Linked DNA regions of Callithrix jacchus. The protein of the gene in region 2 interacts with the protein of the main gene of each other region in a pairwise test. Links are inferred from orthologs where the notes say so. Each region holds a gene or a part of one and is shown on either strand. Other genes may lie near its edges.

What was found.
Region 1: the proteins of MOAP1 (region 2) and THOC1 interact in binary tests that used the Homo sapiens proteins (3 or more experiments, as listed by UniProt). The two-hybrid records come from large-scale screens. The link is inferred for Callithrix jacchus from reciprocal best matches to the Homo sapiens genes MOAP1 and THOC1.

The regions. Positions count from the first base shown.
Region 1 is NC_133514.1:63,784,411-63,788,228, reverse strand, and holds part of THOC1 (THO complex subunit 1), read right to left. Parts: intron 1,580-3,818; coding exon 1,471-1,579; intron 345-1,470; coding exon 213-344; intron 1-212. UniProt on the Homo sapiens protein: Component of the THO subcomplex of the TREX complex which is thought to couple mRNA transcription, processing and nuclear export, and which specifically associates with spliced mRNA and not with unspliced pre-mRNA.
Region 2 is NC_133509.1:127,995,735-127,999,831, forward strand, and holds MOAP1 (modulator of apoptosis 1), read right to left. Parts: upstream 2,864-4,097; 5' UTR 2,792-2,863; coding exon 1,733-2,791; 3' UTR 758-1,732; downstream 1-757. Other genes in the region: uncharacterized protein LOC103795890, read right to left, coding at 2,889-2,911, 3,095-3,857; LYSET (lysosomal enzyme trafficking factor), read left to right, coding at 3,928-4,025.

The DNA.
Region 1 (3,818 bases), on a different chromosome or scaffold from region 2:
AGACTTACTGTAGAACTACTTTCACCTTTGAAATCAAATTAGTCCTGCTTGAGAAAGGAAGAAATGGGACTTTCAAACTAACATTAATCAGCTTTAACCAAAAGTACAATAAGAAACATTTTTATTCAACTTAACTTAGAAAGGCTGTCAGCTAAACAGAAACAAAACAAGACCATTTTTTACTATGCTTAGTGAAAAAGAAAAACTTATACCTTTTCACTTGTTAAAAATTTTGCAAAATATACATGCTCTCCGCCTGTTTTCAATTCTTCCATCTTTTTTCTTGAGGCCTGAGTATCATCCAGTTTGTAACTCTTAAAAACAGCTAAAACTTCTTCAGAATACTGCAAAATAAAAATATTAGCTTTATTCAACATTGTTGCCAAAATTTGTTTAGTTCTTTTCTGCATCAAAATACCTAGAATTTACTCCCAATCATGTATTTATATTGTAAAGCATACCAACAATAAAAATTATTATAGCAAAATGAGATTAAAAACCATTTTGTATGATATTTCACTTACTGTAAAAGTAGGAACAAATTCTCTACTCCTAAAGATATGATTTCTTAAGAAGTTTGTGTAAGGGGCAAACAGAGAAGGGAACACTTTAAGACTATACAGAAATTTACCAGTGAAATTCTCTTATCACCTGTGGATTAACTCTAAGGCATTTCTTGTGCTAAAGACTGACCAAATAAATTCCATCAAATTCTGCCCAGTTAGAATAGACAATTCCAGGTCATTTTTCACTAACCACTTAATCTGAATTTGGATGGTGCTACTCGCACAAAAATTTGCACATAAAATAAAAACTATTAAAAATAACAGAATACACACCATGCTACTTTGAGAGAACTACCTATTTATCTTAGATTTTGATTATGACAAAAAAGGACAACTGATCTTTAAGTAGCCAAGAAAAACAAAAATTCTTCTAAAACAGGATTGGCAAACATTTTCTGTAAAGGACCAGAGAGTATCTCAGGCTTTGTGGCCTGTATAGTCTCAGTTACAACTACTCAGCTGTGCCATTATAGTGCAAAAACAGCCACAGGTAAGTGGATGGTCATGGTAGTATTCCAATAAATCTTTGTTTACAAGCAATAGGTTGAATCTGGCCCAAGACCATGGTTTGAGGACTTCTGTTTCAACAAGATAGCTAAAATAATTTTGTGCAAAGTAAAGATAGAATGTATTCTGCAAAATATCATCAATTTATGTTGACAACACTCATTTTTAAAAAGCAAGGCTATAATGACTAACTTTTAAATATCCAATTCTTATATGTTACTTCACAATATTAGGGGTTTAAATATTAATTTATAATTTAGCTTGTTATGAAATTGGTATAAAAATGTAAGAGGCAGAATTATATAAGCAAAAAGTATGTCAGACAAGATTAAGTTTTAGCTCTATTACTGACTATATAAAATACTGGGCTTCTGATAGTCTGTCACTGGCAACTCACCTTGAGAAAAGTTTTCCATGAAATCTTCTCATAGCATTGCACAGGGTTCCTGAAGTAATCCTGAAGTGACCAGAATTTTCGATACAGGTTGTAATCAATTGGAATAGAGCTAATAAAATAAATGTTATATTAAATAAATCATTTAAATCCTTTTACAAACATCTAAATATTCTTAACTTAGCTTTGGTCACAAACCCTTTTCAGAATCTAATAAAATTTATCAGAAAAGTACACATTTACAAATATATGAACTTTTACAAATCATTTTAGGGAACTCATAGACCCCAATAGACTCTCTTTATCTACATTGGTGGAGCCCCTGAATTTTGGCAGGACACATGGTTATTCAGAATTAAAGATTATGCTTCCCAACCAATCTTGCTGCTAGGATGGCCATGTGCCAATCAGTTGGGAGGAGAAGTGACATGTGCAACTTTTGGGCCATATTTTACCACTGGCCTTTTCCTGTTTCTGCTGGCTAAATGCAGATTGAGAATGAGCCACCTTGCACTACAGAAAAAAGGGCAAACACCAAGAGATGATGGAACAAGAAGGCAGAAGAAATCTGGGTCTAGACAATCTCACTGAGAAGCATTCCTTACCAGCCTTGGACTGCCTGCTTCCAGACTTTGTTATGAGGGGAGAACAAATAAATTTTTACATTGTTTAAACCAACGCTAATTTGAATCTATGTTGAAAGTCACAGGTATTATATCCTAACTAATAATATTATATCCTAAGAAGCACTAGTATGAGATAACCATATACGGTATATATCAAATTAGCATCACAAAAATAAGCCCTTTCTATAGTGACTTTATTATGGCATTAGTATTTCAACTTCTTTTTTTTTTTTTGACACAGAGTTTGCTCTCGTTGCCCAAGCTGGAGTGCAATGGCACAATCTCAGTTCACTGCAACCTTGGCCTCCTGGGTTCAAGCAATACTCCTGCCTCAGCCTCCCGGGTAGCTGGGATTACAGGCATGTGCCACCATGCCTGTAATTGCATTGCACTGTATTTTTAGTAGAAATGGGGTTTCTCCATGTTGGTCAGGCTGGTCTTGAACTCCCAACGTCAAGTGATCTGCCCACCTTGGCCTCCCAAAGTCTGGGATTACAGGTGTGAGCCACCACGCCCAGCCACTATTTCAGCTTCTAATCTTGATTATGTTACAAATCTACAGTGTCAATACATATTCTTTCAATTTTTAAAACACCTAATATCTGATAAACAGTATCTGAAGCACATGAAAATCAACAGTGAAGAATACCGACAACTTTTAACTGATGAAAATCTAGTTCTTGCCAAAGCTTTTATCAAGAATTAGCAGTATCTGAAAGAATCTAATAGGCTTGTTTAATTGCACTCTTCCTAAACTCTTCCCTAGTAACAACTCTGAAACTAGGAAAACAATGATCTGTACATCAACCTCTCTCTATAATTAAAGTTAACTTCACTGATTTACAACAATAAGATTATACCTCTGGGTTTTCTATGAATTGGGTTTTTTTAAAAAAGCCACAAAAAGAACATTCCCTAAAATGTGAAAGTAAATAGAAAAAAGAAATAGCACTATATAAATTATTTATATCCATGAAAGAATATAGTTCCATACATTTGATAATGTTTTTGAAGTACGTGTGCGCGTGCACACACACACAATGTTAACTCAGTTACAACATGTAAGATTGAATATAATAAATACCTCTTGAAATGTAGTACCAGGAAAGTTTTATTCTTAAAAATGGAGCTACCTCTAACAGAGAATGAGAAGCATGAAACCATTATATGTCCCTTTTTGTCTCAATTGCTAAGAACTTCACATCTAATTTAATGCTTGATACCAATAACAATATTATTCCAAGTTGCTAATTATCATCTCCTACCTGTAAAGGCTTTTGATCTCTTTCCTTTTATCTTTAATTGGCTTGGTGGGTATTTGAGGTGTCTTACAGAATAAATTTTAAAGTAGTGTTAATATATTACTGCTAGGTAGTTTTTATAGTTGAGGCATTAATATATTTTTTAAAATTTAAAGTCCCCTCTCATAGATGCTGTCCCTTGCTCTTTTCCTTCACAGCTGAATAAAATTCTTCAGATTTGTCTACACTCTATGTCACCACTTCATTTACCTTTCCATTCATTTTTCAACCTACTTGCAATTTGTCTTCCACCTTCACCACTCCATAGAAACTTTTCTATTTTCTGTTTATCCACACAAAGCAAATGCAACCATTTATTGTATTTGCAAATAATAACAAATCAGAGGCACAGTTACTATGTAGAATAGAAAGTCTTGTAACTATTTTAACCAAAATACTCTGGAAAACTTGATACATTTTTAAA
Region 2 (4,097 bases):
ATGAGCCCTTGCCCCTGGCATTGAATCTTTCTGATCCTCAAGCTTCTCATCTGTAAAATGGGGAAACAGTAGGTTTCTGAATAAGGCAGCACGGAATACATTAAGATCAAAAACTCTGGAAGTGTCTGAGCCTTGCCACTCACTAGCTGTGAAACCCTGGGCAAGTTACTTAGCTTCTCAGTCTCATACGTACAATGGGGAAAATAAAAGACTGAGCTTGTGGGGGCACCAAACGTGTTCACTGGTGCTCCGTATCTGGTGTTCAACAGAGCTATCATCACTGACCTCCAGGGCAGGGACTGTAGTCTAAATGTAATGACGCAGTCTTAAGCCCTCAGCTTAGTGCCTCACAGATGGAGAGGTGCAACACATATTAACACTTGTTTGTGCACAAATTCACCATGTCTGCTTCCCACTACTGAGGGGGCAAGTGAGTGGCCCATGTCACAGTGCCTGTATGCTCCAAATGACTACACATATATAAACAAGATCAGAATTACACCTTCTAATCTATTCAGAGTGCATGTCAGTTAATATTACAGTAGAAGCAGTAATATAATTGTTTTACTGCTTCAGCAGAAGGTCCCCTCAGCAATCTCACTTAGAAAACAATTTCCTACCCCTCAGCACCAAGTGGAAAGAATCCTGGGAACTAAGTCTGTGTAGGTTCAGTGGTTTGCAGATTAATGCTCTGGGAACTCTTTATTCAAATGAAATCTCTCTTGGAACCCTGATATAAACAAAACAGACAAAATCATTTTATTAGCATTCTTTTATTTTAGAAGTTCACACCTATAATTTCATAACAATTGTGAAAATGATACTCAGAACTAGATATTTTGGTAACACATAGCAGAAATCTGTGGTTAAAGATGGTCACTGCAAACTTAAATCAGCATTCAATTCTGTCTTTTGTTTTTGTACAGAATCAATATAATTCTGATTCATACAGATAATAACTTAGTATCTTAACCTCCACTCATAATCTACACCATAAATGTAGGTTAGCACATACCTAAAAATTGTTAATGATCCAACATGGTCACATGTGACATGGCACACTTGCACTTGGTACCAAACAAGCTGACAGTTCAATGAGATTTGATCAGCATATGCACCTGAGCCTTGTCTGTCCCCTCAGAGCACTGTACACAGGTAGTTAAAGAACTTTTGTACAATAAGAAATTCACAGGGATGAAGCCAGGCACGGTGGCTCACACCTATAATCCCAGCACTTTTGGAGGCCGAGGCAGGTTGATCACTTGAGGTCAGGGGTTCGAGACCAGCCTGGCCAACATGGTGAAACCCTGTCTCTACCGAAAGTACAAAAATTAGCTGGGTGTGGCAGCACACACCTGTAGTCCCAGCTACTCAGGAGACTGGGGCAGGAGAATCACTTAAACCCGGGAGGTGGAGCGTGCAGTGGGTCAAGATTGCGTCACTGCATTCCAGCCTGTGCGACAGAGCAAGACTCAGTCTCAACGACAACAAACAAGATATTCACAGGAATGAATTTAAATAGGTAAACAGCAGTGTAGAACTACATCCTTCCTGGTCACTGACACCTTTAGATCTTAAATAGGCACAGAAATAACAAAGGGCTTATACTGACAACTGCACAAAAACGAGTAACTTGGCAGCACAAGGCAGGGATTTTATGTGTCACAAGAGTACAGACTGTTCTACTTTCATGCTCTGCTCATTGCTATATCCCTTCGTGATTCCCTGAGATTCAGGTGAAATGCCCGTCTAATACTGCCTGGAGAAGGGCCTCCTCCTCCTCAGCTGCTTCATAATCCTTTATTAGTACCAGTAACTGCAATAAACTAGGGGCTGGGCCATCCTCCGGCAGATTAAGCTCTCTGCGAACTGTTCTGTGGACTGCCCCAGCAATGACTTGGTCTAGGCGGGCCTGATTCACAGCATCTCTCTCAATTGCTCCTTTCTGTACCAGCTTCTGTAACAAAGGCTCCAGCCTTAGTACATAATCAGATAACTTTTCTTCCTCCTTCTGGTAAGTGTTTAGAAATTTGTCATGCAACTCTCTAGGACTATCTGTAACCCCAAATACCTGCTCAAGAGCCTGCAGGCATTCATCAACAGTAATTAAAGGATTGTTTATCTTGAGGACACGAATAACATCAAGTGCTGGGCCTCGAAGGCTCTCTAGCACTCGCCTTCTCTTCTCTGCATCTGACACCTCCCACACCTTTAACATCTGAGTAGTATGAAACAGCCAGGGTTCAAATTCTTCTTCTTCCGGTTCTGGAGAATCACTGCCTGAGAACACGCTCAGCTTTTTATAGTGGAAGTACTGCAGGGCAGGCTCAAGAGCCTCATTTAATGCCTGTGCCAACATAGGGGCCCACATTTCTGGGATCATGCCCTGCCCTAGGTCTAAGGAGCCATTTTCATATCTAAGAGCTCTGGTCAACTCACCCATTGTCATGCCCTCTCCCTCTAAAAATTCATTTAATCTGCTTAGGAAATCATTATCTGGGTCGGGGGTCTTAAAGAGCACTCTCCAGATACCCCCTTTTCCCGGTATCTCCTTAGGGACCAGTGCACGACTAGTCTCCGCAGCAAGCCCAACTAGGGCTACTTTGCAGTTCTCATCCCTCCTGAACATCCTTCCAAGCAGTCTATACTCCCCTAGGGGAGCTAAACCAGCCTGCAGAGCCTCCTCGATTTCTGCCACACTGCAGCTCTCGGGGATGCCGGCAATCAGCAGCGCTTTCCGAGGGCTCATGTCCATCCCCCGGCACCAGTCTTCTAAAAGCCTCAAACTCATGGTGCCCGAAATAATAGACTTAAGTTCTAAATATTCCAGACCACAGGTAGCCACCGCAATTCAAAGTAATCCTCCGCGGTACCCCAGAGAAATCTCCTCAACGTGGCGAGGTCCAGCAGCCTGCAAGACAGAGCAGACGGGTTAGCTAAAGGTGCCAACGTGCAGGCCTTAAGCCCCGAGGGACCTGCACCCCGCGGCGACGCCATGTCTGCCGCATTGCGGCGTGCGCCCCTCCCCCCGCCCAGCCCAACTGCGTAGCGGTTGTCCGGCCTACAGGGCCGCTCCGGGCTTGTTTCGCCTCACCGTGATCTACTGCTCCGTGCTCGCGTCTGTGCGACGGCGGGCAAGGTGCCTGGCCAGGCCCAGAGAAGGGGCGGGAAGGCGGGCTCCCCTCGGCTCGGACGGACACTCGCGGGCCAAAGCGATCGATGCCGGTCCTCCAAGTCCCTGCGATGCTCTCCGCAGCAAGGAGTGATGGGGCGATGACAGTCACGAGCGGGAACCAGAGGGCAAGGCTGAAGAGCGCTGAGTCGCCAGGCCCAGACAACCGCCCGCCTGAAGGGACGCGCTGCCACCTGCAACGCCAGAGCCGGGTATCAAGCCCCAACTTCGGCCGCTTTGTTCTCGCTCCGAGAAGCTGTGCGTCTGGCAGAGGCGCTCTGACGTCATGAGCGGGGCGGGCCTCCGGGGGCGGGGCGCGTGCGCTTCCGGCCCGAGCCGGAAGCCCCGACTGCGGCGGTATCCGGGACGGCGGGCGGGCTGGCCACCCGGGACAGGAAGGTGAGATCCGGGATCTCAGCTTTGCAGGCAGGCTCTGCCGGCGGCCGCTGACTGGCGCTGAACTCGCGGCGCTGCAGGGCGGCGAGGCCGCGGCCTGGCGTCGCCTGCACAGCCCTGGTCGCTGCGTGCAGGTGCTGCAGCTCAGTAGGGGGCGGGGCCGGCCGCCGGGAGGCCCAGGTGGCTGGGACGCCTCCCGGCCGGGTCGGGTTCCCAGAGTGGGGCCCCGGCGGCGGCGACGGGAACCGGGCAGCGCGTGACCCGCCGCAGTCACGCCGTTCTTAATCATTAGTAGCTGGTGCTTCGGGCTGGCGGCGCTCACCTCTCTCTGAGCCGGGTGACCCAGGGGATTTATTTTTATGGTGGCTTTCTCTGAAATGCCAAAGCCACCCGATTATTCAGAGCTGAATGACTCTTTAACGCTTGCCGTGGGAACAGGAAGATTTTCGGGACCATTGTAAGTGCTTAGGAGTTATTAACTTGGGGTCTTGACTTGTAGCACCCCGTGTTCACGTCTGAAGCAGTACTG